2 linked regions of the Rattus norvegicus genome follow. The protein of the gene in region 2 purifies or fractionates together with the protein of the main gene of each other region. This does not show direct contact. Links are inferred from orthologs where the notes say so. Each region holds a gene or a part of one and is shown on either strand. Other genes may lie near its edges.

The links.
Region 1: the proteins of Gnb5 (region 2) and Gng2 purify together in Homo sapiens (affinity purification with western blotting; 4 studies listed by BioGRID and IntAct, with this or other methods). This does not show direct contact. The link is inferred for Rattus norvegicus from reciprocal best matches to the Homo sapiens genes GNB5 and GNG2.

The regions. Positions count from the first base shown.
Region 1 is NC_086033.1:4,459,293-4,462,941, forward strand, and holds part of Gng2 (guanine nucleotide-binding protein G(I)/G(S)/G(O) subunit gamma-2), read left to right. Parts: intron 1-3,343; coding exon 3,344-3,472; 3' UTR 3,473-3,649. UniProt on the Homo sapiens protein: Guanine nucleotide-binding proteins (G proteins) are involved as a modulator or transducer in various transmembrane signaling systems.
Region 2 is NC_086026.1:84,955,756-84,959,504, forward strand, and holds the start of Gnb5 (guanine nucleotide-binding protein subunit beta-5), read left to right. Parts: upstream 1-873; 5' UTR 874-980; coding exon 981-1,092; intron 1,093-3,749. UniProt on the Homo sapiens protein: Enhances GTPase-activating protein (GAP) activity of regulator of G protein signaling (RGS) proteins, such as RGS7 and RGS9, hence involved in the termination of the signaling initiated by the G protein coupled receptors (GPCRs) by accelerating the GTP hydrolysis on the G-alpha subunits, thereby promoting their inactivation.

The DNA of each region.
Region 1 (3,649 bases), on a different chromosome or scaffold from region 2:
CCAGTGCCCAAGAGATTAGAGGATCCAGAGTTTCACACCAGCCTGAGCTACATAGCCGGGACAGCATAGGAAGATCCTGTCTCAAAGAAATCAACTGAAAAAAGTGTGAGGGTATTAGTAACTTACAGACTCGTACAACTCTTCTACAGACTAACGACGACACTTGGCGTAAAGCAGTTTACACAGTTTGGACACATAGCAAAGGCCATAAATACCAGCAGCTATTCCAGCTGTCAGCAAGATTCCAGTGTTGTGTGGGGTCATCATCCTCAAGAGACAGCAGTCTCGGGAGGAAACAATATATTTTGAAAAGGAAATTGCTCAGAATCGTTTGTTCAGATACAAACTACAAACGATTCCATGTTATTAATTTTCCCGCTCTAGTATCTTCTGTGCCATAAAGAGGACTTTGAGATGCACAGAGATGACTTGGTGGTGAGAGCACTGGCTGTTCTTACGGAAGACTAGGGTTTGGTTCCCAGCACCCATGTGGCAGTCTGTGTAACACCAGTCCCATAGGATCCAGTGCCCCCTTCTCACCTCCTGGAGTGCTGCGTGCATGGGGTGCACAGACATGCACGCAGTCACACACACACACACACACACACACACACACACACACACAAAGGGAAAATAAAATCTCGGGTAAAGAGTGCTTCAGAAACGTCATGCCGTGTGCCTGTGTGCGAGCGCCGTGGTTGAGTAGTAGAGCTCTTCCTAACAAATGTGGGTACGGCAGTGCGATTTTACAGTTGCTGCGTCCTGTTAAACCCATCCACTCCTATTGCTCGAATAAGTAAAAGCCACAGGGAAAAAAATGTTCGCTATTTCCCCTCAAAGTCTGACCTTTGCCCTCATTTGGGGGAGCCACGGCTAGAACAGTCCTTTTCCTTTCATCTCATCATCGTCGAGTTTGGGAAAGATGCATGGAGAATTAGTTCCCACCTTTGGAACTAGCCAGGCATTTCAGTCGTTTGCATGCAGGCAGCTGCGCCTGTAACGGCAAAACATCAGCATCCGAGTTCTTCTGCGGCGTGCGTCTCTGCCCGCCTGCGAGCAAGCTCCGGGAATCTGCCGAGCCTCAAGCCTTCATCTACACAAGGTGGATGGTGATTTATACCGATGCACTCTCACAGAGATGGGAAGGAAAGATGCTCGGTGGGACACGTCTAACATTCACGTTAGAGCAGGGTGAGGGCAGACCCTCACGCAATGACTGACGGATTTGAGCAACAAAGAGACGAATGCCACATAAAAGGTAGGGGTTGGCATTGGAGTGCTCTGTGCGCAAGGCATGGAATCCCAAAAGGTCACCACAGCCACCGGGCGCTGAGTGTCACGGGGCAGATTCTCGCTCAGAGGGTTGGGCATCAACCGTACTGACACCTTCATTTCAAACATAACATTTCTGGCGCTGCTGTGCCGAGAGGACATACTGGTGCTGCGTTAAGCCATCTGGTTGGTAGTGCTGCATCAAGGCAGTGACAGGGAACAAATGCTTATTTCAGTGTTTACATCCAGATCAAGGTAAGCTGGCCTTCCCAGCAGTAATCATTCCCCTATATTTTGGCACTTCCTACACAGGTCTACTCTGCAGAGCAGAAAAATTTTACTTCTACTACAGAGCAAGAGAAATTTTAACTTGATGTCGAGAACAAAGTAGGCTTATGATTATCGAGCTGCTGTGAGATTTTCCCTTATCAGAGCAGCAGCCACTCCACACCGAGTCACTGTCACCCTGGCCTATGGCACAGTGTCTGTCTAGAATAGTGCTTCTGTCTGACTAGAATAGTCCTTCTGTCTGGCCGGCGGCTAAGAGAGCAGAGAAAGAAAAGCTGAGCGTTTGCTGATTGAGACTGTAAAACTGATTTCTGTGTCCAACCTGTTAATCTTAAAACTGTTGTAAGCTCTAAGCGATGGACGTCTAATCCACTTGGTCCTCAGGCAAGGATCAGAGCAAGGGTGTGGCCACTGATCCCTTCCTGGAGACTCGTGAACTGGGCAGGGAGGTCCTGATTGTTAGTTCAAATGGACAGAGAGGGAGAGAGAAGCGTGCCTGGCAGGTCATGCACTGATTCTTCTGCCCCAGAGTAATTAGCATCGATTCTGCTCACATCTCATTGGCCAGAACAAATCACTTGTGATATAAGCTAGTCTGATTATCACTGTGCAGATATATGGAGCCTACCTGGAGTGAAGCATGGAATGTAGTTATAGTATAATCTGCCCGAGTCTTAGAGAAGCTTATACTTGCAGTGGTCACCGTGAGAGACTTTCACACCCTACAGTTGGTGAGCCTCAGCACAGGCATACGGTGTCATGTAAGAATCCAATGACTGACTCCATGTTGTCTTAGAGAAGCTTATACTTGCAGTGGTCACCGTGAGAGACTTTCACACCCTACAGTTGGTGAGCCTCAGCACAGGCATACGGTGTCATGTAAGAATCCAATGACTGACTCCATGTTGCTGATTCCAAATGACATTCTTCTGGTAGGATCACCTACCCCATCGACAGATGTCAGCTTATCTCTCAAAGTTAAATCTAGCTCCTCAAGTAACAAAAACGTGCAACAACTGCGGAGGATAGCACCATTGGTAATTCCTCACAGGGAGCTGGCAGTGCGCACGACACCTCCCCAAAACGCGAAGCTCCTCCAATGGGAGCCTTCTTGGTTGGAGTCACATGGTGCTACTGTAATGAATATTTTCTATACTATATGATATCAGTGTGTGTGTGTGTGTGTGTGTTGTGCATGTGTGTGTGTGTGTGCGCGCGCGCATGCGTGCGTGCATGCATGTTAGTATGCCTTCTGGTTAGAAAGGGACACCGGTCTAGCTGTAGGCATTCTAAGGAGAATTCCAGAAGCAGGGGTGTGGCTATAGAGAGATAGCAATGACTCTCCTAGGTCAAGAGCACCCTTTGTGTGGGATTCGATGTCTTCCCTAGGTTATCTCACTGGTATAATTCTGCCACCAGTGCTGGGACTCAGCGGCAGCAACTAAGGTATCATGGCACAAAGGTTTAAGGGGAAGGTTGGTGCTTGCTCGGTTCTCCGATTCTCGAGTCAAGTGGCTCTTCTGTTTGAGGCCCTGATTGCTTCGCTCCTAAATCCCCACCTGCCGGCCACAGCGCTGTCAGTCAGGTCGGTTTCACTGACAACCAGGAAGCAGAGCTTATGCAGGCGGGGTGTAGCCCTTCACTTACATCCGTTGGCTTTCAAGTGCTTAGCTGGATGAACTCCAAGGTGGAGGACCCCAAAGCTGGGGTCCTGAGTGGCTGAGCGGTGGTGTTTGGGTCCGTGCCTGTCCATCCTCTCAGATGTCTTTGCCTTCCCATGCAGGTGTCCAAGGCAGCTGCAGACTTGATGGCCTACTGTGAGGCACATGCCAAGGAAGATCCCCTGCTGACCCCAGTCCCGGCCTCAGAAAATCCCTTTCGGGAGAAGAAGTTCTTCTGCGCCATCCTTTAAGTCTCTGAGAGGAGGCTGAAGATGGTCGGGGCTCCCGGGACATTGATGTAGAGTTCCTAGCAGAGTGGGCGCCTTTCTCGTCCGCAGCATTTAAAGAGAGGAAGGAGAACCATCCTGGACACTCCGGGCTGTGCATGTTTAAAGAACTGTCCCCTCATGAGAATGAAAGCTTGATTC
Region 2 (3,749 bases):
TGCCTTCTTCTCTTCCTGGAAGTGTGACACTGAGTGTTCACGGCCTTTTGTCCCTACTCTGCAAAAATAGCTTGGAGGTGGGGTGGGAGGTGGGGTGTCTGGGATTCCTTTCACAGCGACTCAGGTGAGCACTGAAAGTGTCACCAAGGAACCTAGCCCAGTGAAGTGTAGCTGCAGAGGAGCCACTGGAGTCATCAAATTGTTAAGGTCAATAAAACATAAGCAGGGCTGGAGAGATGGCTCAGCGGTTAAGAGCACTGACTGCTCTTCCAGAGGTCCTGAGTTCAAATCCCAGCAACCACATGGTGGCTCACAACCATCTGTAATGAGATCTGATGCCCTCTTCCTGGTGTGTCTGAAGACAGTGGCAGTGTACTCATATATAATAAATAAATCTTAAAGAAATAAAATAAAACATAAGCAAACCTTCATTCCAAAAGAGAGGACGCCCCTGACCCCAGCAAGGTCTGCCCCTGACTCATGCTTTTGTTGTCTTAACCCAGAACCCAGGCAGTCAGAACTCATTTTTAAAAGAATGTTTCAACTAGTGGGCTGTGAGGCACCTGTATGAAGCCTCCTGCCCCCAAGTCCCCGGGATGCCAAGGGCTGGGCGGTATAGGTTGGACTTCAGTAAGCACCCCTGGAGCCAGGAGACCAGAGTTTGTGGGCCATAGCGTGGTCTGCGAGCCTCAGTTTATTCTAGCCTCCTACCCTCACCCACCCCCACTCTCACCCCAACTCCCATCCCCACCCCCACTGTCCCACCTCCGAGCATCGCCCCGCCCGGTTCTCAGGGAGGGCGCGGTGGGCGGAGCCAGCAGAGTCTGTCACCGCAGCGCTCGCGTCACTGCCGAGGGGGCGGGCCCGGGGTGGCGTTCGGGGTCACGGAGGCTGCTGCTGCGCCCGCCCTCCCGTCGGGCCCCCGCGTCGATTCACAATCTCCCGCTTTGCGTTTCTCTCCCGGCTGCATCCGGACGAAGATGGCAACCGATGGGCTGCACGAGAACGAGACGCTGGCGTCGCTGAAGAGCGAGGCCGAGAGCCTCAAGGGCAAGCTAGAGGAGGAGCGGGCGAAGCTGCATGACGTGGAGCGTGAGTGCGAGCAGGGGGTGGAAGGGAAGCTCTCGGCCGGAGTGGACCAGACTCTCCAAGGGGCTGGCGGACCTGCGTGGGACCGATTCCAACGTCCCTGATGGGAGGATGCCGAGCCCCTCCCAGGGGGCGGGTGGGGAGGTGGTGACAGCAGGTGCGGGCGGGCGAGGAGAGACCGCTTTACAGTTCCACGTTGGGCTTCTCTGCCCCTGTCAGGTCCCTTCCTCTGCGTGGATTTTGAAGCTCCCTTTCCCATCTCTCCACTGTCCTTGGGGGCAGGGAGCTGGATGGCGGAGGGAAGCCGATGTGCTTTCTGCATCCGCCGGCTCGGCTTGGGGTAGGCCCTTTTAGGAGTGTTTGATGGATGCTGCGGCTGACATAAAAGAGCTAACGCGGTATAAATAAACTTGCCAGCGTGCCCGCATCCCAGAGACTCTCGGCCAGAGAGAGAACAGAGCTCGGAGTAGGGACCCTGCTTGGGCAGTGGTCTTACCCGTTCACCCTCCCTTACTTACGTACTCCCTTTCAAGGCCTGCCAGCCCCCAACCCTAACACACTTCTGTACGGTGCGCCCCCCCCCCACGCCCCTGCCCACCTTCCTAATAGGCCTTGATCTTTTCAGTTCCATTTAGAGAAGGGAACTGGGGGTCAGAGTGAGGCCTTTAGTGTTTAATTTCTTTGAAACTTGCTGGAAGTACAAAACCCTGGTTGTCTGCTCTCGGGGCCTTCTCTTAAGTTAGGAAGGGGCAGCTAACTCCTGTGTGGTTAGAAATGTGCTCAGATGTAAGTGGTTAAATGGTGGGTTTTGGTAACAAGATCAGGTCTGGTGCAGCTACCTGGTGCTTTGAGGGACTCACGCGTTTCCACGCCTTATCGCTGGCACTTATTTACCCAGTGATCCCAAGATGACTGCCACCGCTCCAAACGTTGCCCCTGTATCCAAAGCAGGAAGAAGGGAGAGTGTGAACACCGGGGCTCTTTTCCTTCTTAGGGAAAAAGCAAACATTTCCCAGAATTCCTCTCCTCCCAACATTTCTATCTGCACTTCATAGGCCATGTGGCCCCTGCCAGGGAGTCTGAAAAAGGGGGAGCCAGGCTGAGCATGTTGCCAGCCCTAAATGAGAAGTGAGGAGTAGGTATCAGCTGCGTGACATGGGCCTGCCTTCTCAGAGCCTTGTATGCTACAGATAGATGATGGTGTTGCCTCATCTTGGTATCAGTGCCTTGGACTTCTCCACTTGACAGCTTAGTCTTGTGGCTTGAGCAGTCTTTTTGAAGCCCCACACCGATGGCCCTTATGACATGAGCCCCCCACTCTAGCACAACCCTTCAGCCCACACAGAGAAACCCTTGTCTTGTCGTCTCTCCATCCCTTAAAGTCCCACTCTGACCACAGTGTCTTCCAGGTCCTTAGGAACCCTGGCTCTCTCCTGTACCTGGAAGCCCTGTCCTGTGTTCCGTCACTTCCCTGACATCAGCACAGACATTTTGATCAACTTCTGGAAGTCTTGCTGAGGGACATTGACTCTGGCCCTCCTGCCCCCTCCCCAGCCATGGATGTAGCCATCCTCCTGTCTCCTCTCGCTGAACTCCAGGGGCTACTGAAGAGAGGGCACCAAGAGACCTCTGTGGTCAGTGGCTAAGTGACCCCTGCATTGCCCTTAGTCAGATTTACCCTGGCAACTGTAAGACGTCAGCAATCTGTGGGAGTCTCTGTTCTGCCCACCTTTTATTTCCCTCACAGAAAGTGGGAGGTAAAAGAAGTGAGAGGCCTGTTTATAGATCTGAGTTCATAGATTTAGCCCTCGTCCCCTGCACACCTGCAAGGGTCAGCTTCCCCTCTCTCCTCATCTCAGGATACCCCTCCTCATCTTTAATTTCCCTTCCATCTCTCTACCTCTGAAAACAGTCACACACACACACACACACACACACACACACACACACACACACCTCTATCTTTTACTCACACAGTTTGTCAGCCCCTAGTGTGTCTGCCTCTGCTTGGTCCATAAAGATGCTGCAGTGAACAAATCAAGAATGTTCCCTTGTAAGTCTTTGGTCCAAAGGCTTCTAGAAGTTGGTCATTCAATAGGTAAGATGAGATTGGGTTAGACACGTGCTCTGGATAGAAGAGAGGGGGTGGGGATGTGGGAAATGAGTCTGGGGGAGCTCAGAGACTTCCAGAGACTGTGAGCTGGAGTGGCTCCCAGAAAGGATCTTTGAATGCAGACTCCTTACCTGTGTAAAGGACAGACTGTCCCAGAAAAGAGCATTTGAAATAAAGCAGCAGCACAAGCTGGGTCAAGGGAGCATTGATGTAGTGAGGCAAAGCTGAGGCAGGGGACTATGTTTGCTGTACTTAGGGAAAGCTGAGGCTATGTCTGGAGAGGCATAAACAGGAGTAGAGAAGAAAGTGGGGTTACAATGGGAGCTATTGGAGCATGGAGGGACATAGCGAAGGATTGGGTGCTATGCATGTGTGTGTGCACACGCACGTGTGCGTGTGAATGTGTAGAGACCTGAGGTAAACTAAGGTGAATGCTGTTCACCTTGGTTTTTATAAACAAGTCTCTCGTTTTACCTGGACCAAGTATGTAGGCCAGGCTGGCCAATGAGCTTGAGGGATCCTCCTGTCTCCGCCTCCCTGGACTGGA